2 separate regions of the Mus musculus genome follow, and region 1 is reported to be linked to region 2. Evidence: microRNA targets listed by miRTarBase, many of them from high-throughput screens and not tested one by one. Region 2 holds a microRNA gene; the other region holds the end of a gene's coding sequence.

The links. Region 2 holds the annotated microRNA mmu-miR-763 (CCAGCUGGGAAGAACCAGUGGC, at 9,875-9,896, opposite strand). A microRNA usually pairs through its seed, bases 2 to 8, with sites in the 3' UTR of a target mRNA and lowers its output. Matches are read on the target gene's strand: a 7mer-m8 pairs with bases 2 to 8, a 7mer-A1 pairs with bases 2 to 7 and ends in A, and an 8mer does both.
Region 1: the mRNA of Slc10a1 is a reported target of mmu-miR-763. Seed matches in the 3' UTR shown: 7mer-m8 at 5,948-5,954 and 7mer-m8 at 6,018-6,024.

The regions. Positions count from the first base shown.
Region 1 is chr12:80,945,384-80,961,566 of GRCm38, reverse strand. Slc10a1 (solute carrier family 10 (sodium/bile acid cotransporter family), member 1) reads left to right here. Exons shown (of 4, transcript NM_011387.2): 2 at 918-1,128; 3 at 3,368-3,546; 4 at 5,451-6,075. The coding sequence ends at 5,658. Srsf5 (serine and arginine-rich splicing factor 5) reads right to left here and starts at 16,068. Exons shown (of 8, transcript NM_001079694.2): 1 at 15,895-16,068; 2 at 14,847-14,991; 3 at 14,186-14,256; 4 at 13,973-14,071; 5 at 13,702-13,771; 6 at 12,399-12,472; 7 at 11,963-12,073; 8 at 11,061-11,847. The coding sequence starts at 14,972. The coding sequence ends at 11,589. It overlaps Gm20337 (predicted gene, 20337), which reads left to right and starts at 16,168. Exons shown (of 3, transcript NR_045057.1): 1 at 16,168-16,183.
Region 2 is chr10:120,438,178-120,454,360 of GRCm38, forward strand. It overlaps Mir763 (microRNA 763), which reads right to left and starts at 9,933; the gene lies at 9,814-9,933. All of the region lies in intron 3 of Hmga2 (high mobility group AT-hook 2), which reads right to left. It overlaps Gm51785 (a long non-coding RNA gene), which reads left to right and starts at 12,827. Exons shown (of 4, transcript XR_003948969.1): 1 at 12,827-16,183.

The DNA of each region.
Region 1 (16,183 bases), not on the chromosome of region 2:
GCCCCCCCCCCGACCTGAAGCTACAAATGGTTGTGAGCCGTCACGTGTATATCTGAGTGGCCATGTGGGTGCTGAGACTTGAATCCAGGTCCTCTGGAAGCTGCCGGTGCTAACTGGAGACATCTCTAGCATTTACACAAAAAGTTTGAGACTATTTATTTGGCTTATACTTCCAGAGGGATCAAATCCACCATAAAGGGGAAGACATGGCAATAGGTAGGAAGGCACGGGAAGCTGGATGATCAATTTTATCTGCATTACAAAAATTAGTACAAGCAAACGGGGAGTGGGGTCAGGCTATACGACCTCAAAGGCTGCCGGGCAGTGGTGGTGCTCGCCTTTAATCCCAGCATTCGGGAGGCAGAGGCAGGCGGATTTCTGAGTTCGAGGCCAGCCTGGTCCACAAAGTGAGTTCCAGGACAGCCAGGGCTATACAGAGAAACCCTGTCTCGAAAAACCAAAAGGAAGGAAGGAAGGAAGGAAGGAAGGAAGGAAGGAAGGAAGGAAGGAAGGAAGGAAGGAAGGAGAAAAGATGGCTTTTTTTTTTTTTTTTTTTTGCTTTTTGAGACAGGGTTTCTCTGTGCTAGGATTAAAGGAGTGCGCCACCACGCCCGGCTTAAAGATGGCATTTTTTTGAATCAGATGGCACCTTCTCCAATGATATATGTGGTTTGAAGGAGTTGGAAAGGCTTGTGCTTCTTATATCTTCTATCAGCCACTTACTATGTCCAATCCGGAATAAGTCAACTCTTCTAGTATTCAGTGTTTTTATAAGTGCACGTGTGCGCACGCATGCGCGCACACACACACCAGTATGTTTACTGCCCAAAAAGATATGAAGCATAGTGTCAGGCACATGGAAGGAACTCAAACCTCTAATTGGCTTTTCCTTTGTTTTTCCCTTATTGGCCACTCAGCATTGTGATGACCACCTGCTCCAGCTTCACTGCCTTGGGCATGATGCCTCTCCTCTTATACATCTACAGCAAAGGAATCTACGACGGAGATCTTAAGGACAAGGTGCCCTACAAAGGCATTATGTTATCACTCGTCATGGTTCTCATTCCTTGCGCCATAGGGATCTTCCTGAAGTCCAAAAGGCCACACTATGTACCCTACGTCCTCAAGGTAAGAACTCAGGGCCCTTGATAGAACATGGCAACCGAGCTACCACCACATCGTCTACTTAGGGAAGTTTACTTTGACTAGCTGCCCTAGGGGTTAGAGTTGAATGTTGGGTCATTTGGCAAGGGCAGCTCATCACAGCATGAGCATGTGTTGGGTCGGGTACAAATATACCAAGGCAAGAGTAGAAGAAAGGATAGCACTGGACCCCTGTGCCTTTTCAGTATCGTGTCCCCAATGACCTGAGAACCTTCACATCTAAGGCTCTATATCCTGAAGCCACAGGACTTCCCTGCAGCATCACCCCGGGAACCTGCCTTTGAACCCTGTACACAAACACACACCCTTCATAGAATTAAAATAAAATTAAACTTATGTTTCTTGATGCTTAAAGTCTCTGCCATACACTTGAGGGCTGTCTTCTGAGTTTGTCATCTGAAAAAAGTAAAGTCGCACACAAGAGAAATAAGATCCCAATAGCAGACAATCAAGTCTGACAGTCTTTAAGACGACTACCGAAGACCAGAAAGGTCAGGCTTTTCTGGAGGGGCTGGTGCCAGTCACAAAGGTTGGGACTCATATAAGCCTGGAGGCCAAATAGAAAGCAACAGGGCAAACTTGGTAGATTTCAATAGCTAGAAGAGAATAAACACTCCCAGCATTTCATGGCCAGCGTGAAGGAAGAAAGATCACTGCTTGCCCTAGAAGAACGTGAGACTGTCCATAATCCTCCAAGAGCTCGGCTCTTGTCAGCCTCCTCTACATAGCAGGCTCAGGATGGCCAGCCAGGGCCACATAGTGAGACCGGGTCTCAAAAAAGTGAACATCCCACACAGGAAAAAAAAAGGAAACTTTAAAACCATGTGGGAGCATAATCACTACAAAGTAACATGAGCACTGATTTCCTTTTTTGCTATTTCTTTATTCAAAAGATGAAAAAACAAAGACTTAAATCTACACATTTTTGTCATTTTGGAACATGCTACAAAAGAGCATGAAGTACACTCTGAAAACTCACATCCTCATGTCTCACGACGAAATCGTTAAGCAGTCACTTCAGAAGATGCAACTGGAAAGTTAGTTTTATTCTAAAAACATGCCATTACCCCCCAGTAAATGCTTGTACAGCACTTACCTGGGGGAGGGGCATGATATAATGCTGACACACTTCTAGAATTTTCTCATCTAGTTTCCAGGTCACACAAGCGAGCTGACTTTTTAGGGTTACACATCATTTGGGGTCAAAAATAGGCTACCTGGTTCAACCAACAGCCTTTTGTATCTGCTTTGCTTTAAATGACTCTTGGCAATTTCCAGAAATCCAGTTTACCCTAAAACAGTGGTTCTCAACCTTCCTAATACTGCACTCTTAAATTCAGATCATGTGTTGCAGTGAACCCCAACAATAATTATTTTTATTGCTTTTAGATTTTTTTTCGAGACAGGGTTTCTCTGTGTAGCCCTGGCTGTTCTGGAACTCACTCTCTAGACCAGGCTGGCCTCGAACACTGAAATCCACCTGCCTCTGCCTCCCAAGTGCTGGGATTAAAGGCATATGCCACCACTGCCCGGCTTTTTTTGTTTTTAGTATAGCTACGTCTTAACTAATTTTGCTATGAATTGTAACTAAATATCTGGGTTTTTTTTGTTTTGTTTTTTTGGTTTTTCGAGACAGGATTTCTCTGTATAGCCCTGGCTGTCCTGGACCTCACTTTGTAGACCAGGCTGGCCTGGAACTCAGAAATCCGCCTGCCTCTGCCTCCCACGCCCGGCGAATATCCGTATTTTTTCAGTGATTTGGGGGACAGGGGTTGCTCAACCCCTTTGGTGATTGCTACTCACAAGTTGAGAACTGCTGTTCCATAACATTTCAGTCTCTCCCTGTAATGGAAGCTGAGAAAGTATGACTGGTTCTAACCAGCTCCAAAATATGTGTATGTCATCTTGTGCAAATGTATACACAGACTGAAAATGCTGTATCAGCTTCATAGGACCAGATTCATCCCTTCAAAGTTACACACTTGAGAATTTCACAGCAGTCTGGAGCTATGTCAAAAGCAGCTGGCTGTGCTTGGTTGAGGTTTTAGTCATTAACGTATTAGCCAAATATTTTTATAGCTACTAATAATAAATCCAAAAAGACCCAAGATAAAGGTTTTTTGAATTCCTATTTCCTACCGAGTCTCCCCACTCCTGTGCCCACTCCCAACCTTCTGATGGTCTCTTCTGTCCCCATGTCCAGGCAGGCATGATCATCACTTTCTCCCTCTCTGTGGCTGTCACAGTCCTGTCTGTCATCAATGTGGGCAACAGCATCATGTTCGTCATGACACCACACTTACTGGCTACCTCCTCCCTGATGCCTTTCACTGGCTTCCTGATGGGCTACATTCTCTCTGCTCTCTTCCGACTAAATCCAAGGTAGGTCTTCTAGGTCCCAATGTCCTCAGGGTGTCTCTTAAGTCTTTTTAGAAATAAGGAACCTTGAGATAAGGGCAGAGCATTTCCAAAGCATGTGTTCAAAGGCACCAACTGACCGAGGGCTTTGAGCAATGAGAAATACTTGGGGGGCTGGGGGGGGAGGACTTAGGATGGGAAGGTGGTAAAGGCAAAGTCTGCCCTCTCCCGATGTTAAATCACACCATGGAGTTTGATGTCATTGTAGTAGCTTTAACGCCAATGCTTTTTTTCCTTGCCCACTCTTATTCTAACAAGGCTTGAATCCTTAACAAGGACAATGTCAGATGGAAGCCATGCTAAGCTCAAAGCCTTTAGCTATAGTGCAAGCAAACAAATAAAGCCATCGTAAAGTAACATTCAACCTGAGGGTCTATGGAAACAGAGTCCTTTCCTCCTGTCAGCCTAAATAAATTACATAGGAGTCTAAACATTGGTACAATGGTTCTCAACCTCCCCAATGCTGTGACCCTGTAATGCACTTCATCATACTGTGGTGACCCCACCATAAAATTATTTTGTCACTACTTTGTAACTAATCTTGCTATGAATTTTAAGTAAATATGTGTTTCCCAATGGTCTTAGGCAACCCCTGAAAGGGTCATCCACCCCCCAAGAGCAGTGACCCACAAGTTGAGAGCTGCTGCATTAGTACCATCTCCCCCCTACACTTTAAGAGAAACTCATTTCCAAAATACAAAATCCACTATTACAACCTAGTTGATAACAATTAAATAACTGTGCTTGTATTACACAGGCAAAAGACTGCCCATTACCATAGTACTACAGTCTTACTAGTTCTGGGAGCTACAGATCACAATGGCCATAGCACCAAGGGCCATCACAGTAAGCCTAACATGCTAAATAGGACAAGTAACACACTTGGGAGTTAGAAAGGTGCAATGTATTCAATTAAAACATTCTGCTCTTCAATGCACTAAATGGAAAGCAAAATTAGGGGAGCAGGTTTCAAAGATACATAATGACCAGTTCTAGAATTAAAATTATGTTAAGGGCTGGAGAGATGGCTCAGTGGTTAAGAGCACTGACTACTCTTCCAGAGGTCCTGAGTTCAATTCCCAGCAACCACACGGTGGCTCACAGCCATCCATAAGGAGATCTGATGTCCTCTTCTAGGGTTTCTGAGAATAGCTACAGTGTACTTACATATAATAAATAAAAGTTTTAAAAAAATATGTTAAGCTACAAAGAAACACAGGATGAAGTCCACATTTCAATCTCCCACTGTCTGCTCAAAGTGCAACTATAAGACTAAGGGGGAAAAAAAAAAAAGACTAAGGGCTAGAGAGATGGCTCAGCAGTTAAGAGCACTGACTGCTCTTCCAGAGGTCCTGAGTTCAAATCCCAGCAACCACATGGTGGTTCACAACCATCCATGAGATCTGATGCTCTCTTCTGGGATGTCTGAGGACAGCTACATTGTACTTATATATAGTAAGCAAATACATCTTTTTTTAAAAAAATAAAGAAAAAGACAAGCTAACACTTCCAGTGTCACCTATCTGCCAGTCACTTTCAAATTTTAACTTAGCAATTCTGTAAAAGCAGACAAAATTTCCAAACTATTCAAAGGCCTCCTTAGGGTCAGATGGATGTAGAACACATGCCTAGTATATACAATGCTCATAGTCCCAAGCATACGCATGCATGCAGAGATACAAGCACATACATGTGCATACACATGCATGCACACACACAGCCTTTATAAACTTTGTGCCTTTTTTGTCACTATCTTCTTAGGGTTGGATCCCATCTTCCAATGCTGGATGCTGTAGGTCTAAAGCATCAGAAAGGGGAAGGACAGGCCCCAGAGCTGACCACTGTCTTGTTTCTTCCCACTCACACAGCTGCAGACGCACCATCAGCATGGAAACAGGATTCCAAAACGTCCAACTCTGTTCTACCATCCTCAATGTCACCTTCCCCCCTGAAGTCATTGGACCACTGTTCTTCTTTCCTCTCCTTTATATGATTTTTCAGCTTGCAGAAGGACTTCTCTTCATTATTATCTTCCGGTGCTATTTGAAAATCAAACCTCAGAAGGGTAAGTATTGAACTCATCTCCTATGAGTATTTGCTCTGGACCTGAGCTACCAACAAAAGATTCCAAGTAGGAACTGGAACCAGGTAAAACAGCATGCCAGCGACTTTGAAGAGTAAAGGTCATTTTCACCAGTAACACTACTCCAAGTTAATGCATCTGGCGTTGTTCTCATGGGCCTGACTTTGTAAGACAAGCTTCAATATTACAGAGAACGATCTTGAAACTAAAACATGTCTAGGGTTTCTTTAATTTGGAAAGCTTCAGCATTCTTTAGTGTTCAGCTTTCTGCAAGGTCAGAGCCCAGCTGGTGGCGCACGCCTTTAATCCCAGCACTTGGGAGGCAGAGGCAGGTGGATTTCTGAGTTCGAGGCCAGCTGGTCTACAGAGTGAGTTCCAGGACAGCCAGGGCTATACAGAGACCCTGTCTCAAAAAACAAAAACAAACAAATAAAAAAAAAAAAAAAGGTCAGAGCCCTAGTACCAACATAGGGAAAACTTGAAACAGGCCTAATACAACAGAATCCAAACCATGATTCCACTCTGGTCAGTTAATCTCAGATAACTGGCATGATTTATACTAATTACTAGAATAATCTTCAAATTATTTTACTTTTTTCTTTTAAAAATAATTTATTACTTTAAGTGTTCAGAGCAAATTCATTATCTGCAGAATGCTATTCTCAAAAAAGCCCAGAATCCCTCCCTCAAACTGAGACACATCTCAACCACTAAGGGCACTTGCAGGGGCTGGAGTAGTTAAGAACACCTAGTTGCTCTTCCACAGGACCCTCAAGGCAGCTCAGAAGCCAACAATTCCAGTCCTAAAGGGTAACCTCTTTTCCTCCAGAGACTTCATGCAGAACAAAGACATACATGCAGAGAAACACTCATACACCCCCACCGCCAAAAATACCAGTCCTTAAAGGGCTTTTGTCTTTATGTATACAAACCCATTTAATCAGAGAACTCCAAGGAATCGATGCTCTTTCCATGTGGACTGTTTTAACTTGAGTCATCCAGGCTTAGCAGCAAGAACCTTTACCTGCTGAGTCATCTCACCCAAAGTACTCTTTATAAACCATTTTGGTTTTTTATGGTACAGAGCATTGTTTTCTGTATGTAGCTCAGGCTAGCCTCAAACTGGAGATTCCCCAGCCAACAAGTACTCAAATTCAACATCATGTACCGTGACCAGTCATGTCTTTTTAGTACTAGAAATCAAACCCAGAACCTTGGGCATGCTAAACAAGCATTCAATCAGAGCTATATCCCCAGCATCCTTGTGTCTTTTAAATAAAAATTAATCCGTTTCCTAACCCAGTTTCTTCTACTATGTATTTCCAAAACCAAGGCTGAGGGTTTTGGGTTTTTTGGGTTTTTTTTTTTTTTGTTTTGACCCCAAGAACTTATGATCTGCACCCAAAACAGATTTCTACTGTAGTGCAAGAGCATGGAGGACCCTGACACCCACCTTCAAAGTCCCTCACCACTTCCACATGGGGCGGAGGGACACTCAGACTGAAGAAGGTAGGGGTTGGCAGTTTGAGGCCTGATCAAAGCTTCCTGCTTCTAAGTCCTTCAGAATTTAAGTCATTATTACTCACCTAAACCCACAGTGATGAAAATATCACACAAAGCATCTGTTAGTGCTACCACACCAGGGATCTCAAAAGAAAAGCAAATCTTTCTGAAAGGAGTGATAGTAGATACAAATACAGAGCACACCCCTGAGTTCTTGCATTTGAGTAAGTTTTGTCTGTCTTAGCTAACTCTCTTTTCCCAAGAAAGTCTGTACATGCTACTATTCTACTGCTGAGCTGAGCTTACAATTTCAGAGGGCTAGAGTTCATTATCATCATGAGAGGGAACATGGCAACTGGCAGGCAGGCAAGACACTGGAGCAGTAAATGACCTTACGTACCCTGATCCACAAAATCACAAATAGGCACACAAAGGTTAATTAGGAGTGACATAAAATGCAGGCTTTTGAAACCTCAAAAGCTCACCCTCAATGACACATCTCAACAAGACCATACCTAATCCTTCTCAAGCAACTCCTCCCAGTGAAAAACAAGCATTCAAATAGGGACCCACCCTCATTCAAGCCAGTTTTACTCTCATTCTCTTTTTACTTTACAGACCAAACAAAAATTACCTACAAGGCTGCTGCAACAGAAGATGCTACTCCAGCAGCTCTGGAAAAAGGTACCCACAACGGGAATAATCCTCCTACACAACCTGGCCTTTCCCCTAATGGCCTGAACTCTGGTCAGATGGCAAATTAGAATGTGAAAACTTAGAAGCAACAAGGAAAGTAACACCTAGTGTGCCAGATTGTCTAGCACTTCCAGCAAACCTTCAACAGCAGAATCATGAAGCAATGAACTGAGGCAGAAGGGCATCTATCCAGGAACCATCATCCATCCCCAAAAATCTGCTATTTGTTTAAAAGATAAAAAAGAACTAGGCAAAGTGGTTCCTCCCTATAATTCCAATGCTCAGAGACTCAAGGTCAACCTTGAGTACACAGCAAGACTGTCTCAAGAAACCAAGAACACTTTCAGCAGCTATGAACTCTTATGAAGGCTCTATGAAACAGCTACATCTGATAAACATTATCACTATTTCTAGACTTTCCAATAAGCAGGTGTTTTGCTCATTAAGCATCCACAACCTGCTTCATGTTGTAACTCAAAAGGAAATAAACTACAACTGGTAGTTCTAACTTACCAAACAATCTTAATTCTTTTTCCTTTTCCACACAAGTTGGGTTCAATTATATAAAATCAATACCAAGTAGACAAAAGCAATTAAATAGGACAAAACTGCTACCCACTACCCACAATGAAAGGTACCAGAAATACCAGAAAGCAAAAAAATTCTTAAAAAGCCATAACAAGCCAACATAATTCCACACTCTTATCAGTTTACAGTGGCATCAAGCACTCCAAAACCTTGAAGGAACTGTACAGAAAAATACTCAAACCTTCAGATTTCTTCTATGAAATCTAAACATTTTTTCACCTTTTATTCACACTAAAATAATGGCTGAAAGATGAACAAACTACCCATTGCATACATGGTTAAACATGGTAAACTACTTTTTTGTATTTTCCATCACTGACAGTGTACAACGGAAGCCACATCAGGGCACTTGTTTGGCAAACTTGCAGGACTAACAAGCACTCACAAGAATGACCAAGCATTTGGGTTCACCTTTCTTAAGATGGCAGTGGCAGACACCTTTAAAGCACACACCCTGAAAAGCAGGTGTTTTACCTCAGGTCTGAAGGCAGTCTGTGTTACACAGTACCAGTCTTTGTTTTTAAAGCTACTTCATTTTTTTTTACAAGATTTTATTTACTTAATGTATATGAGAATACTGTCATATGGTTACAGATGGTTGTGAGCCACCATGTGGTTGCTGGAAATTGAACTCAGCTCTGGAAGAGCAGTTTTCACTACCAGCCCCAGCACCAGTCTTTTTTAGGTTTCTAATGTTAGTGCAGTCTCTAACACAAGCAACTTTGGACTGGCCATCAGCTACATTAAGCTGAAAGCCAGCCTAGTTATGTCACAAAAATATTAACTTTTTTACATTTTGGGGCTCATCTGATCAATGACTTCTCTAAACATCCAGATTGCCACCATGTACAAGATGTGATAAACTAATCTAATAACCAATCAGGAAAGGCTGGCCTGGGGCTTCAAACTATCCTTAGAAATAAATGAAACAAAAAACTAGTCCTAAAACATCCTTTTGTAAGTTTTATCAAGGCTGTGGGGGGCACACTTGAAATCACAACCCTCAGGTAGCGACATCAGCAGTGGCAGGTGTAGGAGTTTAAGGTCAGCTTGGTCTATGTAATACATACCACAAGCCAGACCAGCCAGGACCAGAGGACAGTGAAACTCTTGTCTCAAAAGAATCTGTTTCTAACTTCTCAAATCTCAGGTCTTAGTACTCAACCTGACAGTTCGCTTATATACTAAAGAGGATCCCCATTAAAAGGGCAGGTTAAGATGGCTGGTAAAAAGAGAATGCCAGGTTCTGCCAATGTTATATCTAGTCTCCTCAAAAGTAAATAAGCTGAAGAGATGGCTCAGAGGTTAAGAGCACTGACAGCTCTTCTGAAGGTCCTGAGTTCAAATCCCAGCAATCACATGGTGGCTCACAACCACCCGTAGTAATGAGATCTGACCCCCCCCCTCTTTTGGTGTATCTGAAGACAGCTACAGTGTACTTACATATAATAAATAAATAAATCTTTTTAAAAAAAAAAGTGAATAAGCATACCACTACTCCTAGACTTAGCCTTTATCAGGATAAGCTACAGTTCATGATCTATTACCGAAACCTTCTACTGAGTTCTCCCTAGAACACCTCCCAAATGCTAGCTCATTCCCTAACTCCCACTTTGAGGAAGCAAATAAGCCTTTCCTACTTCTACTCACCAATGAGTACGCCTGTTCTAGTCCTGGATCCTTAATTGGTCCTTTGAAAAGCCCCCTACATTTCCTGTAATACAGTTTTGAGGAGGATTTAACTCAACCCCAGCACTCAGATATTAAGATGATCTGCTATCAAATATTCACCAAGTTCGCACCTGGCAACTAGGCTTTCAAGATGAATAACATTTCCTACACTTAGGGCACTGCCCACTCCCACAAGAGTAGGCAGCTAGAGATTGCTCAGCAATTAAGATGACTTCAGAGAACCTGGAGTTTGATTCCTAGCACCCACATGGCAGTTCATAATGGTCTCTAACTCTAGTTCTAGGGAATCCCACACCACCTTCTGGCTTTCTTGCAACTGATGCACATACATACATGCAGCCAAGATACCCATGATAGAAATTTTTTAAATTCCTCTGGTAACACACAAATTAGCCAGATGGTGGTGGCACACACCTTTATCTCAGCAACTGGAAGAAAAAGCCACCCTGTTCTACAAATTGAGTTCCAGGACTCTACACACACACACCTTTAAAAACCTAAATAAAACATATGGTCACGTATCTCAGAACTAAAACCAGCATGTAAAGATCTCTCATGCCTTCAATCATTGAGAAATTACATTTATGACCATCCCAACTGTTACATCTGACAAGAAAACTTGCACTGGATCTTATGTGTTTACCAAACCACTGCCCTTTCTGTTTAGGGTTAGTAACCTGATGGTAATTCAAGTCCAGTGGCAACAGGAAAGAATTGAAGGAATACAAGGAACTGTCACTCAACTTAGCTGTAGTTTTCAATCCATTTGCAGGCTCCTTCACTAGCTTCAAATAGCAAAATAATAAAATACTTTAAAAAGCTTACACTTCAGGGTTCTACATGTGTAGTTTTTAACTTAAAATACACAAATGTGATAGAATAAATAATACAGAACTTGAGAGAAACAGACCAAAAGCAGTTTTATAATACTTAGTATTTTATTATCAATAACAAACAGCTGCTTTACTTTAATGTCTATCTACAGCTGTTAATGGGCAAGACACCCTTGACCCTAACAAGTAAAACTCATATTAAGCCTTTATATACAAGCAAATTTAGAGCTCTTTTAAAGTGTCCAAAACTATTCGTTAGTTTAATTAAACTAATCTTGAGTTAACATATCTGAACAATGAACTAAAATATTCAAAAGTTTTTCTAGTACAAAAAATTAAATGCTTTAGTTATAAAAGAGCTCTATCAATATACACAAACTATATACTTCAGACAGTCACAAAAGTGTGAGCAGAAGGCTTATCAAAAGACATTTAATACAATTAGTTTTCAACAACCCCTTGGTGGTCCACATCTACAAAGAAATCCAGCCCAACCCCCTCCAAATCCCACCCCACAGAAAAGCACATACTTACCAGAACTTTTAGCAAGTATGGTTTGGGAATTTGTTTTGTTTTTTAAAAAAAGGCCCCCAGGGCAAGTTATTTACAGTTTAATTGCCACTGTCAACTGATCTGGACCTGGACCGGGATCGGGACCTCTGGCGATCCACAGATGCTGGAGATTTAGATCTACTCGAAGAACCACGTTTCTGGCTCTTCTCAGGCACAGGAGACCTACTACCAGAACGGGACTTGCTCCGGCTCCGGCTCCTGCTCCTTGATCGGCTGTAAGACTTGCTCCTTCGTGAACGGGATCGGCTACGGGACCTAGAGGAACTTCTGGTCCGAGATCGTGACCTGCTTCTTGACCTGCTATGAAAAATTGGCAAGAAGGAAAGAGAGAAAACACACATTAACCTGTATGACAGGGCTCTAAAAGCCAGCAAGTAAAACCTTTGGCTTAAAAATATAAACGAAAGAGTACCTGTGCCTTTTGCTGCCTTCAATTAATTTGATTTTTCTCCCGTTAATTTCCTTTCCAGAAAGTTTCTCAATAGCATTCTTTAAGTCACCATAAGAGGCAAACTCAACTACCCTAAAATGGAAGGAAAAAAAAATCCCTTTAAAGGTTATAAATCCAATAGCCTTGTAGACCACCTACACAGATCAAGATAAGCATAAGTTTATCCCTGTTGTTATTGCTGTTTTAAGTCATTTCTGATATATACAGCACAATTCTGTGGTGTGCCCCCCTATGTACTGTGGAATGTTGCAGGTGCCTATTATCAACAGTCCCTTGTGATAGTCTTTCTCCCCAAACTTAGCCAAAATCAAGCACATGCAAATTTTAGATCATAGCAATGCCACAATTAAAATTCCCAAGGTAATTAATTAAGACTCACAATCCAGGACATGCTTACCCTTCATTTAGTTTAGGTCGATGTGCATCCGCAAAGGTTACTTCCCCAGCTTGTCTCATGAAATCTTTGAGATCCTTAACACAAGACAATTATGTTAAGGAGAGAAAGGGAAAAGTGGCACACAAACAACCACATGGCATAAACAAGACTACTGGAAGAGAAGGTGTTAGATAAAGTACAAACATGGCATATACCACACTTGTATTCTATCAGAATTCAAAAATTATGCCAGGGCACGAAATAAGCAAATAGCATATTGCTTTTAAGCAAAATGCTAGAGGGCATTCCAATTTTTTAACATTATAGTATTAGTCTAACTGAGCTCAGTACAAAAGGGGGAAAAAACAAAAAACAAAACAAACAACAAAAAAAAACAAAAAGGAACAGTACATCCTTTAAAGACTAGTTTTATATTTAAAAAAAATAAAAAATAAAAAAATAAAACAACATTTACAAAGACACCAGTTATTTTGTGCCCCATATGTCATTAAAAAATTTTACTTTACCTTTATTAACATTTCCCTAGGCTAGTCAAGCAGCAAACCATTAAGCGGTCGGAGAAACCTTCATGACATAGGCCCGACTGGCTCTTCGCCACCCACTTGAAGGATACTACCCAATCGATGGAAGCCTTTAATCGCACAGCCCTCCCTATTAGCAGACTACTGGCGATGCAGACATGTTTTACTCTTGTGCAGTTACCAAGGACCACTTTACTGCGATCAGGATTCCAACGACCAACTAATTTCGTATCTTTCAACTCTTTCGACCAGGACCTCTTATTCGGAAGCGTTACAGGAAGACAGCTCTCAACTTAGGGATCAGATCACGTTATCAACGGTTCTGGGATCGCTGCAACCCGGCACTTCAAGTAAGTGCACCGATTACGTCTAGACCGGCAAACACAGATCTAGAGGTGGCCAACTGATCACTGTAGGAGCTGACTGGCAAAGTCAACCAGGCCCAACCAAGAGTGACCAAGACAACGATTAGGATAACCCACAGGCACTCCTCGTCATAAGGCCAACGACACAGATAGGCTGGCAAATAAAGGGTTTAATATTTGGTTAAAATTGATTTTAAAAAACATGAAAAAATAACCTCAAAACATTTACATTTGATCACTAATATTAAAATCTGAAACATCCCCCAGTTACATTTAACTAAAGTTTAAAATTATAGTTCAATTAAATTAATTTAAGATAAAGCATTTAATAAGATATATATTAATAAAACATTAACTACCCATTAACACTTTTAAATGCCACATTAAAAAATATCTCAAAACTGTATTTCAACAAACCTGCCAGCTGACTCTTGAGGATAAATTCTCAACTATAAGTCGATTTTCTGTTCTTACAGGTGGAGCATTTCTGAAGAAAGAAAAATAAGCATTCAGTGTCAGATGTTATGTCACAATGTCAAATGCTATGTGACAAGTTTAAGCCAAGATAGTGATTCCATCAAGTTTCTGGGTTCTCAGCATGTGGACTAACTAGACTTAACTAGTCTGAGAACCATTTAATGCTAACGGACCCTAACCCAACCGTAACAGCCAAACCCAAACCACATACCGTCTATCATTTCGAGGTCTGCGACTGCTAAAACGGTCGGAGTATCGTCCTCTACCTCTTCCACCTCGAGACCGAGCCCGGGCATGTTCAATCGTCACCCTACAAAGAGGTAAAAAAAGCATTCACACACTACACATGAGAGCACTTACATATGCAAATGTCTACTCTGCTCTACTTCCCTGGGAGAACTACTTATAAACCAATCATGCTTACCTTTCACTGCAAAGTTCCTTCCCATCAAGTTCATAAACAGCATCATCTGCATCCCTTGGGTCCTCAAATTCCTAAAATGTAGCAGTAAGAGTAGAGCTTTTGGACGTGCATGCATTCTACAGCACATTAAGATCATGGAAGCCGAGCGTGGTGGCGCACGCCTTTAATTTAATCCCAGCACTCGGGAGGCAGACAGATTCCTGAGTTCGAGGCCAGCCTGGTCTACAAAGTGAGTTCCAGGACAGCCAGAGCTATACAGAGAAGCCCTGTCTCGAAAAACCAAAAAAATAAAAAATAAATTTAAAAAAAAAATCATGGAAGTGTTAAGATATACCTTACACTCAGATACTATAACCCTAAGCTAGGGATGACTGAGAATCAACTCCAGCCAGCAGTTACTTTAACTTCTTAACAGAAGCCACTGCTTCTTGGCCACTTCTAACATCTTTCTGGGAAAACAATTCACATGGACTCAGAGTCCATGCTCATCACAAGAGCTCTACCCACTTTGTTTTTTTTTTTTTTCTTTTTTTGGAGACAGGGTTTCTCTGTGGATTGGCTTGCCCCTGCCTCCCAAGGGCCAGAGACCAAAGGCATGTGTCACCACCACAAAGTTACCTAACTTCTCGACAGATAATTCAACTCAGTTTCAAGTACTTACCACAAAACCAAAACCTCTTTTCAAGTCAATATCTCGGATCCGTCCGTAACCCTTGAAGAATCTTTCCACATCTTTCTCCCTCGCTGCTGGATTTAGTCTCCCAATGAACACTCGACAGCCACTCATGATGCCCGGCTAGTGTTTCCTGTTAGGCAGTAATTGAATCGAGACAATATCAACGATTGACACCATGGGGGTGGGGGATGTTCAGTCAAGCAGTCAAACACACCCCACGTTTACCAACTCTACTAACAAGGTCGCCATGTACCTTTTAAGTCGTTCACGACCACCACATTCAAATTCCAAGTTAAAACTTAACTCTCCAAAAGACCCCCTTCCCAGGTTCCACACGGCAGCCCACCACAACGCCAGTAGCCACCTTTCTAGACTGCGCAGCCGCACACGCTGTCCCCGGATCCCGGGGTTCCCCTCCCATCTGCCGCAGTTAAGGCCAGGCCGAGAAATGCGGGCGGAGCCGAGCCCGCCCTCTGCCAGGCCTGGTCCAATAGCAGCCGGCCGCGCCCGCGTCGCGGCCTCCCCGCGCGTCACAAGCCGGAATCTCGCGACGCCACCACCGAGCCTGCGCAGTGGGCGACGGGGCGCGTTCGCAGCACAAAATGGCGACGGCCGAAGTATGCGGCGGGGTGTGGGGGGGGGAGGAGCGTAGCGAGCCGAGCTGCGTGCCCCCGAGACACGGGCAAGCCCGGGGCCCAGAGCGCTGCGCCTGCGCCGGCCCACGGGGGGAAACCCTAAGCTGCCCTGGGCCAGGCCGGCTCCCCGGCGTCCGGGCCTCGATGAGAGCCATTAAGGGCGGCAGGGAGGGGCGCGCTGCTTCCCGACACAAACGCCCTCCCCACGCCCGCCCTTCCGCCTCGTGTCCCCCTCACGCAACACCCACAGGGAGACGTGCCCCAGCGCCCACCTCAAATCAACTGCGCTCTCTGAGTCGCCGTCCTCCGCAAAGAGCGAAGCCCCGGCCACTTGCGACCCGAGCGGCCATGAAGAAGCCTCGATCCGAGAAGCCTTGCCCTCAAAGCGTGCCACTCACCTACCGGACAGGGTCTTTGGCGGCTGAGACCCCGGAGAGGTCCGTAGTCTGCGACGGAGCTGTCTGCCTCCCTACACAAACACACACACAACACACATACACACGAACCCAACTCGTCTACAGTCTCTCCACAACTGACGCACTTAGCAGCTCGGACGTTGCACAAAATGGAAGGGACGTCCTGGCGTCACTTCCGGGGCGGTGCCAGAAGCTCGGGGACCGCCCACTTGGAGCTGAGGACAGACGGTTCCTGGGAGCCGGAAGTTCTAGTAGGGCGGGGCTTCCTTAC
Region 2 (16,183 bases):
AGGAATGTTCTGGTGTTCAACTTCAAGTCTGCGATACCCATAGAGCCACATTAGGTTGAGCAAGAGAGGTAGGCCCTCTCTGGTTAAGTGTGTCATTGAAATCAAAGGTTGTTTCTCTGTTTCTGAGCCTTCCTGGGTGATTTTCACAGACCCCAGCAGCCCGTTTGACATAGCTCCATGGAGCTGGTCACACCAGAGTGCAGACTAAAAGTGCCTAGAAAAAGAACGTGCCCTCTCACCTAGAGGGAAATCCACACTTTCCAAATCCCCACAGGAGGAGAAGGAGAAGGTGATGAAGAAAACACACCTCTACCTCATTACCTTTTGGCTTTGAGAATTTAGACACAGACCGCTCAGAATCCCCCAGAGAAGGGGAAAAAATAATAGCTGGAGGCAAAGCCAAAAATGTCTCCTGCTTCTATTAATGGCCTTAAATTTATTTTCCATCCACACACTAGAGGAAAGGATGCATTTAAATGGATTTAGAGGCCCAGGAAGAGACACGGAGGCAGGTGTTGGTGACCATGTTCTGTTGTCAGATAGTAAATATTTTAGGCTTTGTTAGCTAGATGGTCTCCACGACACACCCTACCTAACTTCTGTTACCACAGAGAAAGAGCTGTCACCAGCAACACAGGCACAAACAGGTTGCTAATTTTTGTCAATACAAAAACTCATTAACATTTTCACGTGCTAGTTGTTTTTCTTTAAGTCATTTGCAAGCACAAACATGTGCAGGATAGACGTGTATTTTGGAGGCGGAGAACACAGGGTCTTGCCCCCATATACCTACCTACCCAAAGACCTCGTGAAATAATTGGAGCTGCAGGCACTGAGCCTGTGCACCACGGAGCCTAGAAACACATGGTTTTAAAACTGATTTCTAAAGCACAGAACTGGTACAGCAAATAGTCTATGTCTGGGTCTCTAGACCGTGGCTGATAATTCAGGCTACAGGTTTACAGTTTTTCTAAGCCAAATTCATATCGGTTTGGTCATTCCCTTGCTTAGAGTCTTTAATCATTTCTCCTTGGCGGTGCTGGCCCTCCTGACCTACTATGGAAGCTCCCTTTCCATGCTCACCCCCATGCTATGGCCCTAATTTACGCTATCCAAACTACGCTTGGGGAAACTTGATGGTACACATCCTACACTTCTCTCTACCGCCATTGATCCCGTGCTACCCTTACGTGAGACGCATGCCTTCTCTGTGAAATCCCTCCAAAGCTACCCCATTAAAATCCCTTTCATCCCTCAATGCTCAACTGAAGCACTACACACCTCCTCCGAGAAAGCCCCGCTTGCATTACATGGCTGGGATAAGAGTCTGGTAGATGGCAGCTTATGGCTCACATCTTGACACATAAACTAAATAACTGCCTTGTGTGACTCTCACAAGGCTTACACAATGAGATGAGACAATGTTAATAAAGCCCACCATGGTGCTTGAAATACAGCTGGAGTTCAAAATAAATAGAAGCTTCATCTTGCCTATCCTTAAACTATAAATCTTTCTGCTACAAGCCATGTTTGATTTACTCGCACAAAACTTATAACGATCTGCATGTACATATTATATGCTTAATAAATGCTTATTAAATATAAGGTAGATATTAAGAACTGTGCCATTTATTTTGTAAAACAAAATCAATGGTTTTAATAATAATGCTAAATGTGAAAAGGGCTAAAACACAAGATTCCCTGAATTTTTCAAGTTGAGTTGGCTGTATGGTGCAGAAAAAAAATCATGGCACATAGGGGTTATACACCCAGAGCCAGGAGTCAATTTGATTACTGTCTAGCTTGTGTTTCTGTACAAGTTACTTATAAATTCTGACATTCTGTTTCTTCTTTCCTAAGACTCTGAATAAAAGGTCTTAAAGGAGCATTCTGGACTATGACACTCCTTTCTATTTGGTAGGTTCTTAGTGCCTACAGATTGGGAATTTTAAATAGGACCCATTTATTTTTGCCAGCCTCGTGGAACAACACTCAAAACAGCACACGCCTGAATGAAATGGAAACTGTATCTCCCAACCGTGATTTTATAATGTAGAATCAGCAAACTCTGGATCTTCCCCATGGGAAAAAGCCAGGTAGCTGAAGGAGCTCTCCTACGACATCTGAGGATTGATTGATCCAACGCCCAATACCCTCTTCTTCAGCAAACAGCAAGAGCGAACTTGAGCCATGACATCTGACCAGACTGAGATTCCATCCAGCTAGCTTTCAGTGTGTGGCTTTCAATGTGTACTTGACTCTTGAATAAGGTCCCTGAAATACAGTCGTAAGAGTTCTTCCGTGTCTTGGTCATGACTCTCATCCTTCTGAGTTAGTCTATGGCCTACCATCTTCCCTTTCCAGTTTTGACCTGTGAAGGTGACAGTGATGGGGATGGTACTCTCCTATCTTGAATGATGTACGTCCAAACTAATGCGGCCCAGGCTGCATTCCAGAAAACAAGAACAACAGCAACAACACAATCAACCTCAGCCTACGTGGTATTGAGCCAAACGAGTTGAATCCTTAGAAAACTACCCCTAGCTACAGTCTCACCAAGTGCTCCATAAGTTGAATGTTTCATAAATAGGTTTCGCCTCGGTGACCAAGGAAGTGCAGCAGTTTAGGAATGCCAATCTCTTAAAGCACACAGTACAAAAAAAAATAATGATATTCCATGAGCCATGGATATGCATGCACTGTGTCAACTTGCAGTACCAGGGAATCTGTGACACTGGCACAACTCTTAATTTAGTTTCCACCGCAAAATGCCACGGTTCATAACAGCCGTGCATGGTGGCTACTCAGCTCTGGAGGCCAAAGTCTGGGTGGTTACAAGTTCAAGGTTAGCCTAGATAAAATGGTGATTTCTTTTTAACTCAACAATGAGAACAAAGCCGAATTATGAACCAGTAAAGGCAGTCACTGAACTGGCAACTCACTAGCACTGACGTGAGCATTCTCTTCGGATCTAGTGGAGACTTCAGTGTTTGATAGATAGAAATAGATATGGTCTAGGTTATTCTGACAGCTCATCCTTGGTTCTTTAGCCATCTTTTGCGATGTCCCAAAACTGGACAAGAACCATGGAGAAGAGAGCGATGGCCTGTATAGTATCTAGAAAAAATAAACTCACATCTCGCCTTTTCTCCATCTCTGAGGTAAATGGGACTTTGGGCCCAGAGGGTGTATGTAGTGTATCACCTCAGCGCTCTCTTTGCCTTTTCGTGTTCAGACACTGGAAGTAACTTGACCCCTCTCCATCCTCACTGGACAGCTGCCAGAATGAGACTCGGCTTTCTTTCCCGTGTGCTCCGGAAAGCCACCTACCACTCAGAGGGACTCTTTGACATGCTCCCGACTTGAAGGACAAATGAAATTGGCATTTTTTTTTTTTTTAAATCTGAAGGCAAAACAAAGGAGTCAGAAACACGACACCGCAAGACCGGGCACTTATCTGTCCTCCCAGTGAAAAAGGAGGCTTGGGGCTCAAAGGATTCTGCAATTGCATTTCCAGGAGCGGTTTAGTAGATTTCTCCCCCTCTCTTTGTGGGGGTCAGCCACAGGAGGTGACTGTCTGTCCCTTCTCAGATGCAAAGATTCCTTTGTGAGCAACCCCACACAGGGCAGAGAGAGAGAGAGAGAGAGAGAGAGAGAGAGAGAGAGAGAGAGAGAGAGAGACTAACACAGTGTTCCTGACATCTGCTCTCCTTGGGTGTCATGGTCAGCGGCAGATTGGGAAGCAAAGTTTTGTCTTTTCAGCAACATGGTACCTAAAGCTAGTCGTTCGAGCATTTGCTGAGTTCTGCTACGGACAGTCTAACAGGCACAAAGGGAATTGCAGGGACATGTGAGACAGGGAGACTGCATGCTAGCTCTCCAGGGGCTCTTTGCCTTACAGGTGAAAGGTTAAATATATTGATTCCCATCTTTTAATTTTTTTCAGAATCCCACCCAAACTTCTCCAGCCATCCTTCCTGGCCAACTAATGGCTCTCACCTCGACTCTGTGTCCCCACAAGACTTAGGTCCTCCACTTTTCTATTGTTTGAACTTGGCAGCAGTGTTTTTTGTGTGTGTGTGTGCATGATCCAACTAGTTTCTCAGCATCAGGGGGACGGGCTTTCCAGCTTCTTGGTCCCTCACGTCCTTCTTTGCACAGTTGTTACTTTTGTGGCTCTAACACTATACATACTTACTAAGCGAAGTCTTGGTGGCCAATGCTGAGGACATCTGCTCAGATGCCACTCCAAGTATGTCCCGGCTCTCTCCCTCACAGATTAAGTTCCTAAAAGTTCCCTTTCCTGACAAGGCTGTCCGTGTGTCTATCCAGGAGCAAAGGTGTTCTTGCCTGAGCGAACCGTGAAGAAAGGAACCGCTCAGAGCTACAGTGGGTTTGACCTATCTTTGTTCATTACAGAAACAGGACAGGTCCATGTCATTGGCTACCTTGAGAAATGTCAGTCAACAAAAAGGGCGGGCCCTTGAACCTGTCACCCAGTGCTTAGCTGGCATGATGTAAACCAGTGGGCTAGGTCAGCGGAGGACTCTTCCTATCCAAACTGTTCTGTTTTTGTTCTACACAATTTAGAAACCAAAGAACCCACCAGATCTCATTCCTTTCCTCCCACCCTCTTCCTCTTCCTTCTCTACTCTCCCCAGATACAACGTGGGTTCAACCGGTTGAGGGCATGTGACGCCAACCAGTGTGGATGTACATATGTTTACACCTCAGGCTCATGTCATCCATTTTACAGATTATCACTACTTACAGGAAATATGGCTGCTCACATTAATGGGGATTGTGAATGCTGCCTAAAGTTTGTGGTGAAGCACGTGAGGGGGAAGAAGTGGAGAAAGATAATAATTACTTCATTTTCAAACCTCAAATAGGTATACAAATGTCCCAGAGAGAACAGATATAATGGATCCGGTCTCCTTTTCTTCAACCCTGACAATATTTATAGCATATCCTTGGGTAAATTTCTTTAGGGTATATATACGCTTAATTATTACAGTACTTTACACATATAGTATAAAAGTTCATTCTCACAATGTCAAAAATATGTAAATGAGCTACCGTACATAAAAGGTACCAAGATATTTCTAGTCACTTGTGAACAACATTAAGAAATATAGATGAAATGCTTCATGATGCGATTTATTATGGCTGCGATTTAACCCAAATGGTTATATTGCACGTAGGCTAAATGGAAGCACAAAAATTCATTTGTAATATGTTCTTGGAAAAAGAGGGTTATAGTCACACTGCAACATTAACGCTACTTGAATTCAAACCATTTTTCCTACTGTATTAAATATTTCCCTGTGTTGGGAGCAAGATCTTGAATAGCGAAGCTGGTGCTGTTCACCAAATGAAAACAGTGAGCTTGTGCTATTCATAAAACAGCTGAACAACCACGTTGGTAATAGAAGACCTCAGAGAGCCAGCAAAAACAAAACCAACAAACAAAAACCCACCATTGTTTTCTTAATAATCATAATTCTTTTTTTCCCTGTGTGATTTTTACCTGCATAACACTACTCAAATAAATTGACAGTTGGACCCCAAATTACTGTCTTGGCTGCTACGTGGCATTCTGCAAATCTCTCAAAACCCCTTACTTAAGTCTGCTTCACCCCCCCCCCCAAAAGCACTTACTTACTCTCTAGAGTGTTACAGGAATTAGGTGTCCTGGAGCCCACAGCGCCTACGCCTGGTTAGCAGGTTGGAAAGTAATAAGCACAATGGAAAGGGAACCTACTTGGTTACCATGGATACCTTAGATCTGAAGAACTCCTATTTGGGGTGCTCATCAGCCACTACTTGCACAAAATCCCTCACGCTGCCTGGACCTGCATGCGGTCATAAATGTTTAACTGCATCCGTACAGTGTTCTCCAAGTGCTCTGAAATGGCACAGCCATGCTGTGGGAAACCAGTCCTTCCCCTGGTGCATCTGCACTGCCTGCTACCCGTCCAGAGACCTGAAGGTTTTATTTGGCCATCCGTTTTGCAGGACTGAGCCATTTCTGCTAGATCGCTACAACTGCTTAGCTAGAATCAGCCCCAAGATTAATTTCTGCGGCAAGTCAATTCACCCTGGGATGCTACAGCTTACAAAAGGTTTAAAAGCTCTCCCCGCACTGTAGGGGCTCCAACTCTAGTAGTCTGGATAAGAGGGGCCAGGGAGACTAGTAAGGTACATAGCCTTTACCTAGTCACGTGAAAGCTTCCAGGGCATTTCCTCTGCATGAATCCCAAATTACAACCGACTTTTCTCAACATCTGACCCATGCAAAGGAAGTTTCAGTGATATATATAATATATATGCATACATACATACATTACATACATAGACATTAGATCTGTGAAATCTAATGATCCTTGAAGCCAAAGCAGTTATCTTAAACTCACCAGAGACACATGTTAGCCCTCTTCCCAGATGTTCATTTTATCCTACAGGAGGATGGTACAGGCGACTTGGGAGACCAGGCCTTACACTGGTGCCCTGTTTTGGCTTAACGGCTTTAGTAAACCAACAGAAACACTTTGTCCCATAAAGATAATTGCACAACAAAACTTTTATCTTTTCCAGATGGCAAATGGGATGTCACTCAGTGTGACTTAATGATCTGGCCCCCACAGGACTCTCTCTAGATTCATTTGCCTGCTCCGCCAGAGTGCCTACTCGTCGACCGCAATAGGGAGGCTAGTCTCTACACTAATGAAAGTAAGAGCCAGGCTGTTGTCAGGAGCTGGGCATGGCTGGAGAGAGGCGTAAACAGGGGCGTGGCTGGAGACGATTGGTCATCAGGGACAGCTGGCAAGATTGTTTATGTCCTCTACATTCACCATCTCTTTCCTCTCCATGGTCTATGGTTGCTCTTGTCTTCACCATTCTCTTGGGATCTTGACCCACAGCCACAGTTTGACTCTTTCACCCGTGGCCCCTGTTTTAAGTCTTCAGCTCGGCCCTCTCCCCTAAACTCCACATATATATCTAGTTGGGTGTGTAAGCGTTGCTTCTCCACATAACCCTTCATGTTCATTATTTTTCTACAGAATTTTTTTTTTACCTAGTAGGTATAATATCTGTATCTTATTTCCTAGCAAACATTTTCCTTATTTTTTTTTTAACGTCCTAGAATACAAGTGACTTCTAACAGCTAACTTCCTCCATACGTGCACCATACTGGTTATTTTAAAATAGTATCTTAACGTAATTTCAGAAATGCTTACTTTTTCCTTATATAGCATAGTCTCCATGTTTGCTGCAAGATTCTGAGAACAGATAAATATCTAGTCCCAATGTACTTGAAGTCGCATGGTGGAATTAGGAAAATGCTTGTGTATAAACTGATTCTCTTCACAAAATAGGTTGGCATGGTAGCATATCAAGTATAGTTTATTCAGAAAAGAGTCACATATGTCTTTACTGAATTCACTCTTTAAGATTTTGTTTTCCGGGATAGAAAGATGGCTCAAGAGTTAAGAGCATTTGCTCTTTGTTCAGAGGACCCAGGTTCAATTCCCAGCACCCACAGGTTGACTCACAACCATATATATAACTCCAATTCTGGAGACTTTGACAACCTACCCTCTTCTGGCAGACACACACAAGGTACTCAGACAAAATACCCATACACATAAAATAAAACAAAAACATTAAAAATTGCCACAGATGGGCTGGTGAGATGGCTCAGTGGGTAAGAGCACCCGACTGCTCTTCCGAAGGTCCAGAGTTCAAATCCCAGCAACCACATGGTGGCTCACAACCATCCATAACGAGATCTGACTCCCTCTTCTGGAGTGTGTGAAGACAGCTACAGTGTATTTACATAAAATAATAAATAAATCTTTAAAAAAAAATTGCCACAGATACACAAGGTACTTAAATCATGCAAATGGATACATTCATGGATGATCGTAGACAGAGGACACTGAAAATAGTGTTTTGAAAAGGAAAGAAATGTACTTTCATAGTGAACTACATTCATGGATCGATGAACAAAATATAAAGAAGTCTGATTTGCCAAACAGGAGCTCAGTTTTGTCCTCCGTGATCAGCAAATATTTTTTTTTCCTGTAACTGTCGGCTTCCTCTACTCAGTTACTGCCTAATGATCTGTTGAAGTGATACCATCTCCTTCCCGGTCCGCAGAAGTGCCCTCCCCCACCCACATGACCATGCTCCATCTTCTAGAGCGGCATCTTATGCCCGTGACCTTGAACAAAGCCTAAGCGAGAGAGCCTGGTCACTCTGTCTTGAAAGATTTCCTTTCCAACATCTGCTGCTTCCTATTTTGCAATCTCACTTGCAAACAGTGGTCCTCTTGTCATAGATATTTATGTGTCTACGTGTCAGGAGCCAAGAGATTAGCGAGAGCAGCTACTCTTTGGGGTAATTGATGACATAACACTGCAGAAATACATTTGATTTTTTGTTTTTTGTTTTTTGTTTTTTTAAAAAACTTTTAATTGCATGGTTTTAAGAAGCCATTTTGTGAGATTTGAGTAGACCATTGTGTGCTTTTCTTTTTCTTCTCCATTCAATGAATTTGAACACAGAAGCTACTATTTAATACCTAGATATTAAACACACACATACACACCCAAACCCTCTATTCAAGGAGCATGGGGACAATCATAGAGGAGTACAGAGACAACCATAGAGGAGCACAGGGACAACCACAGGGGAGCACGGAGACAACCACAGGGGAGCACGGAGACAACCACAGAGGAGCACAGGGACAACCACAGGGGAGCACAGAGACAACCACAGAGGAGCACGGAAACAACCACAATGGATCATGGAGACAACCACAGAGGAGCAAGGAGATAACCACAGGGGAGGACAGAGACAACCACAGGGGAGCACAGAGACAACCACAGAGGAGCACGGAAACAACCACAATGGATCATGGAGACAACCACAGGGGAGGACAGAGACAACCACAGGGGAGCACGGAGAAAACCACAGAGGAGCACGGAGACAACCACAGAGGAGCACTGTAACAACTACAGATGAGCACAGGGATAACCACAGGGGAGCACGGAGACAACATTCTGACTCTGGCCTGGCTTTCAGGTGGCTTTGCATTAAAGGATCCCCCTTACTGCAATAGTTAATAGACTTTTTTAAACCCTTAGAATGCTGAGTTTTTAGGCTGTATGTTACTCTCTCGTGGATTCAAGACATAAAGGCAAAAACATAAGGATGCCTGTTAAATATCACAGAGAGATCGAAGAAACCCAGGAAGGTCCCTATGGGGGTGGGAGTTGGTCCCCCCCCTTTTTATTTTTGGAGGATTTTATTCTGGAAGAAAAATAATCACCACACACACACACACACACACACACACACACACACACGTCTCAGTCCTTCAGATCGTATGTAAAACCTAAGTGTAATTTGCAAAGGATAAGAGAAGCAAGTTAAACACTTTATACTTTCAAACCTCAGACCAAGATAGGATTACCAAGCTAAACGGCTTCCTTCCTTTCCTTTCCTTTCCTTTCCTTTCCTTTCCTTTCCTTTCCTTTCCTTTCCCTTTTTCCCTTTCCTCCCTCTCCCCCCCCCTCTCTCTCTCTCTCTTTCTCTTTCTTTCTTTCTTTCTTTCTTTCTTTTTCTTTATGGGAAAGAATGGGTAAGAACAGTCATAAAACATATAGATTACTGGGGGATGAGTCAAATGACCCAACCTACACACTCAGTCTCTTGAACTGGTGCATACTATTGGAAAGGACATCAAACCATAAAAATAACTCATATGTCTGTTATGTTTTTCCATTTTAAGCTTATAATAGCAGTAACGACCTCAGCAAAAGACATTTCCTTGGAGTTAATGGCTGGCTGGGAGGCAGAGCCGAGGGCCACTGGTTCTTCCCAGCTGGTCATTAATCCCCAGGAAACGCCTGCACCTCCATCATTATTGCTAAAGCACCATTACAGAAATTTCTCACAGTTCCAGGGTACGGAAATCTGAGGCTACTTTGCAAGCCCACGGACTTCATGGGAGTTAATAGGCCACCACTGAGCACAGCACACACGTAATTATCAAAATGACAGAAGGGAAAATATTGTTCTCCCAGGTCTGTAAGATTATAGGGAATGGGGACTAGCCTTATGGGAGGGGTAGGGTTGAAGCTAAACCACATTAATTTAAAGGCAGAATAAAATCGCCTATATAAAAATCAGTTTAAAAAAAAAAAAAAGACAAGGCAGTTTACTCCTATTACATAGTCTTAAAATATTTTTAAAAGATACAAATTAAGGTTCTATATACACTTCTTCCTAATCCAATAATGTCATATTAAAGAGAATGGTTATAATAAGGAGAGAATTGTATACAACCGGTGAAGTTTAAGGGAATGAGTACCTTTGAGAATTGGGGGATATGTTTGGGAAAATTCATAGGCATTCACCATTAAATATTCATGCAAACATTTCACCCTAGACTTTCTGCCTAGAGAAGCAAACCAGAACCTCACTGACCTGAAGTTCTACTTTTTGTCTTAAATAGAGGCTTAGCATATGCAAACAAGTGCCCTGAAATTTGGAAATCACAGACACACTCTTAGTGTTCCGCACTACCGAATTTAGATAGCTTTTTAGAAATTCCCAAGCTTACAAGCTTCATTAAAGACAAAAATTAGACGCTTTCAAATCTATTCATTCCCCACTTTTAAAACACTGGGCCCAACCACCAGTTCAAAGGAAGGAGGTAATCTAAAACTCACACCCCAAACAGCCTATAAATCTTTCCAACGTGTTCTTATAACAAACTGCAAATGTTGGCCACAATGCTTTAGATTTAATGAAACCCCTTGTACGTTCTCCTGGTGGGTTACAAATACCTGCCTTATTCTAAGTGAGCTTGAAGCTGAGGAGGCCTGGCACAGGTGACATTGCATCCCTAAGAAGATTTCTTGAAGTTCTAACTCATGTTGCATCTACAGGAGTGAAGCCTTACTTGGGAACAGGGTCTTTGAATTCATAGTCAAGATAGGGTTACTAGGGATCCTAAGGGGGGAGGGGCGTTTAGAATACAAGCCTGCAAGACCTCCCTTGGCAACAAAGTATACAGAGCATGGCCACACCTTAACAGAGTGGGGTGCCCAAAAACTAAGGAACATTAATAATTATGAATGATCAGGAAATTGATTCTCACATAGAAGCTTGTCGAGTATACGGCCCCACACCTGTAATGCCAGCATTTGGGAGGCTCAGTAAGATCACTGCAAATTCAAGGCTAACCTGGGTGAAGATCTTGTCAGAAACAGGAGAAAGAGACAGACAGACACAGACACACAGACACACACACAGGACGGGGCAGGGGGACAGAAAGAGGCACGCAGAGAGAGAGAGAGAGAGAGAGAGATCATGCATTACTGGCTTCTGGAGAGCAGCATGACCCTGTAAAAACCCAATTTCTACTTCCCAGAAATGTGAGAGAGAGAGAGAGGGAGAGAGAGAGAGAGAGTTTCTATTGTGCAAAGGCACCCAGGCATGCAGTACTTTGTTACATCAACCCTCAGAAAACGTAATACAGGACTTGGGGATTGGGGTGGGAGAGGGGGAACCAGGGCCAACATTACAAATGGTAATGGAGGAAAAGTCAGAAAGTCAGGCCAACAAGTTGAAGCCATTCATTAGTTAAGGGGAAAAGCAACGGACTGGCAGTCAGGAAACCTGGCTCCCGTCGGGATAATGACTGACGCTTGCGACCAGGAGCTGGACACTTAATTGCTCTCTGCTTTGACACTGTCATCTGCAGAACATGAGAAGCTGGGACTCCATAAGCTACGGACCAAATCCAGGCTCCTATCTGGGGAAGCGGAACACGAATCAGAGCAGCATTTTAATGCTTTCACAGTTTCCAGTTTTGGCACCGCGGGGTGGGGGCGGGGGCCTCAGTGACAGGACACAGGAACACAGCTGCGTCTTCATCTGCCACCAGCCAGGTCCGCACCGGCAGGCTGCACACATTCATGTGAACCCGGTAAGAACGGAAGAAGCCTGCCATGAAATAACAGCACGCTGCTCTGGTACTGGTTTATGGATGTTTGAAATGCTAGGTTTGCTTGCTTGTTTGTTTCCGTTACTAATATATAATAAATATATATAATTAGTTAAATAAATGTATATGCATATATATATTTGAACATTATTTGTCATTAAGAAATATTTTCTTGGGGCTGGTGAGATGGCTCAGTGGGTAAGAGCACCCGACTGCTCTTCCGAAGGTCCAAAGTTCAAATCCCAGCAACCACATGGTGGCTCACAACCATCCGCAACAAGATCTGACTCCCTCTTCTGGTGTGTCTGAAGACAGCTACAGTGTACTTACATATATTAATAAAATAAATCTTTAAAAAAAAAAAAAGAAATATTTTCTTAAGCTGGGCGGGGTAGCGCACACCTGTAATCCCAGCACTTGGGAGGCAGAGGCAGGTGGATTTCTGAGTACTGGCCAGCCTGGTGTACAGAGTGAGTTCCAGGACAGCCAGGGCTACACAGAAAAACCCTGGCTCGGAAAAAACAAAAACAAAAACAACAACAAAAAAAAAGAAATGTTTTCTTTTAAAGTGCCAGTAGGAATAGTATTAGCCCAAAGAGGAAAAATAAAATCACTCTTGTAGAATACCATGGAGTAGGGATTCAGGCTCCAATAGGGCACTGGGTATATTATTCTCTATGTATCTACATATTCTCTAAAGGGCCTGCATAGTAATTACTTATGGAGATGGTTCATTATATTCAGGTATAATCGCTGTCATCTAACTACTGAAACCCCAGACATGACCAGTAGAATACAGAGGGTCTTTCCATTCTAAAGTGGTAACGTCAGGCTAAGGCTTTGCTTCAGGTGTACGAGTGTGTGCGAACATGCATGCATGTATAACATATGTGTTCTGCGCACATGCGTGTGTGTGTGTGTGTGTGTGTGTGTGTGTGTGTGTGTGTGTGTGTATGCACGTGTGCACATAAAAAGATGCATGTAGGGAGACCCACGGCAGTGATAGTGTTGCCTACTGCAGGTGCTCCTAACAATGTCAAGGTGATGAGGTTTGCCTGCAGTCCACGCTAGAGACTGGGTTAGATGATCACGGTACAATTAAGAGGGTAGTTTGCCCACCAAATATCTCTTTATGTGGACACATCTATCTATCTATCTATCTATCTATCTATCTATCTATCTATCTATCTATCTATCTATCTAGATTTGAGGGTTGGCAATCAAACCCCAAAGCTCTGCACCTTCTATGCCCATGATTAACCACGGAGCTACATCCCCAGCTTCTAAGTGCACGACTTTGAAGACAGACTTGAACGTAACCCAAAAGACAAACAGGTACTCAACGAGGCGCGGTGCGTGTGGCCTCAGGAAAAGCAGGTGTGTGCTGCACTTCTGTGCCAGTTTCCCTCCTTGGCCTCTCAAATTGGCACGACTCTTAATGCAGTAAAGTAGAGCTTACTCCAGGCAAGTCAGAAGCTGTGTGCCAAGCCCACCTATGATTCTGCTTGGGCTAGCCAGCTATTCATAAGAAGGAAATCTCAAAAATCACCCATACAGCCACAGGTAGGAAACACGGGCCCCTCTGCCAACGCTTGACAGCCAGGCCACGTTCTAGGATATTTAAAAGACATGACGTATCTCCATGTCTGTGGAAACTGGCGAAGTTGAAAATTCTCAAGTAACTATTTTAAAAGACGGCGCTTCTGGTGATATATTTCTGAACCTATACGTGGGATAAAAGTAGTTCACAGCATCATCTTTACACAGACACACACAAATAATTACATGCAGAGCTGGGAACCCAGAGTATGATAGCTAGGAGGTTTGGTTAACAGCAACATCCTAGTTGAGAGAGTGTCACTACAGTTTATACAGGCCAGAGCATCATCGTTCAGTAGTAGAGGCTTTGGGCTGATCCCCAGAGCTGCAGAGAAAAATAGGAGAGAGAAAAAGGCACCAGGGTGAGGGAGCTGGACAAAAATATACACGGCATTTCTTACAACTACATGTGAGAGTCTCCAGGAAGACAAGGATTGTCTGGCTGAATTTTGGAGGAACAGGGGGAAGAAGAAATAAAGGCAAGAAAGCCACTTGAACAAATATCCACAGGCAAGACTATCAAAAGATTCTCTTCCAACTCAATGCTTTCCATATCTAGGAACCTGGAGGAATGTAGAAGGCTTTTCTACTTGGGGGTATGTGTGTATGATGTATATGTGTGTGTGTTTGTGTGTGTATGTGTATATGTGTGTATGTATGTGCTTGTGTCTGTATTTGTGTATGTGTGTGTATTTGTGTATGTGTGTGTAGGAGTGAATAAAACACAAACAATATAGGCAAAACACAGGATGTCTCAGAAATGATACCAAATCAGCTATTTTTTTTAATAAAATGTGTTCTCAAATGCCATGATATTATGCAGATCTTAGAGATGCTGCATTAAGTTAAAACTCATTCGTCCCGACAAAAATCTTTTTAAGATCCTTTAGCCCAATTATAAAGCCAGAGCAATGACCTTTCCTGGGTTGGCTACCTGGGACTGTATCCACACACATTTGCCTCAGCTTTCTCATGGGAATTCCAGTTGGGGGACCTAGGGCTGGGGGGGGAGGGGGGGGGGTTGTGCTCACATTTGAGGGTTTCTACTTCAGATCCCAAGAGAGACAGAAAAACAAGTCAATTTATTGAGTGTTCACTAGGTGCCAAGCACTGTGCATTGAGCTGTCCAGACCAGGAAGGGTGGGCCCCGTGTGTGGTGAGGATACAGGCTCAGGCCCCAGACATAACATCACCCTACCACCCTGCCTGTTCCCAATCACTGGCTTGGGAGGCCAGAAACAATTCAATGATTCAATGACTAAGGTCACGGACAATCATGAAAGAAAAGGCCTCAGGGAGGCAGCCCCCAGGACTCTCTTAAAGACAGCTGCCCCCTGACAGCTGGTTCTCCCAGGATGTAAGAGCATGCAAAGAGACTGCAGGAGCACTGAACCAAATTCTATTTAGAATACCCAAATGTATATATGATCAGGGCCGAAGTTAATGCGAAACAAGCCTAAGTTGAGTAACCAACCCCCTCAAAAAATATATATGTAGAGGAAGGACACTTGTTGTGTGAGCCCTGGCTGTACAATTAGTGGCTTTCAAATATAGAAGCAAGAGCGCTTACAAATATTCTTTAAGCGTTACGGTGTTTAGCACACTCTCTTTTATCCCCAGTTTTAGTCTGGGTGGATTCAGCTGAAGGATTCAGTTTTATCGCAGGTCTCCTCAGCTTACCAACCTTCTTCCTTCCCAACCTTCCCACTTAAAGAATATGCCTCTATAGACGTGGCTATACCTTTTTGTCTGGAGTCCCTACAACTGTCTGGTCACTTTCACTCCAAACAACCTTTAATGGGCCAAGCCGTTTCCTCCTCGGTCAGATATGCCTACATGTTCTAGAAGAATGTGACAGCTACTACCTCAGGAGGTGAAGTTCTCCAAGTCTTCCTTCCCACGTTCACCACTCATCTCTCTCATTCCCACTAACATCACTTGGCCCTTTCTAACGCACAAGTGGCACCTCCAGTGCCAGAACTTTAACCTTCTAATAACAAATGCAGATGGAAATGAAGTATGAGTTAATGCTGCCTAACTTGGGGGTGGGGAGGCTGTAGAGGTGGCTAAAAAGCTAGGGACAGTGGCTGTTCTTGCAGAAGACCTGGGTTTGGTTTCTTTGCACCCACACGGTGGCTCACGACTCCAGCTCCACGGGATCTGACACCCTCTCTGGCCTCTGCAGGGCTCACAAGGCTCACAAGGGGAAGTCTACCATGCATGTGTACAGGCAAAAAGATCCATGCACATGAAACAAATACCTTCGATGGGAAACAAGGGTGAGGGTGAAGATTTTGAGCAAAGTTTTGAAGCTTACATGGGTGACGCAACCAAGTCCATTCTTTTGTTGTACAATAGTGTTTTTATGGTTGAGACTTACTAGCATCTCTTTAGGATTATATGTGTTCCAAGAGTTGTAATTTAGGAGGACACAGAAGGAACAACTGTCATCCCCAGGTATGATATGAACAGGTTGGACTGGAGAGATGGCTCAGTGGTTAACTAAGAACACCAACTGCTCTTCCAAAGGTCCTGAATTCAATTCCCAGCACCCACATGGTG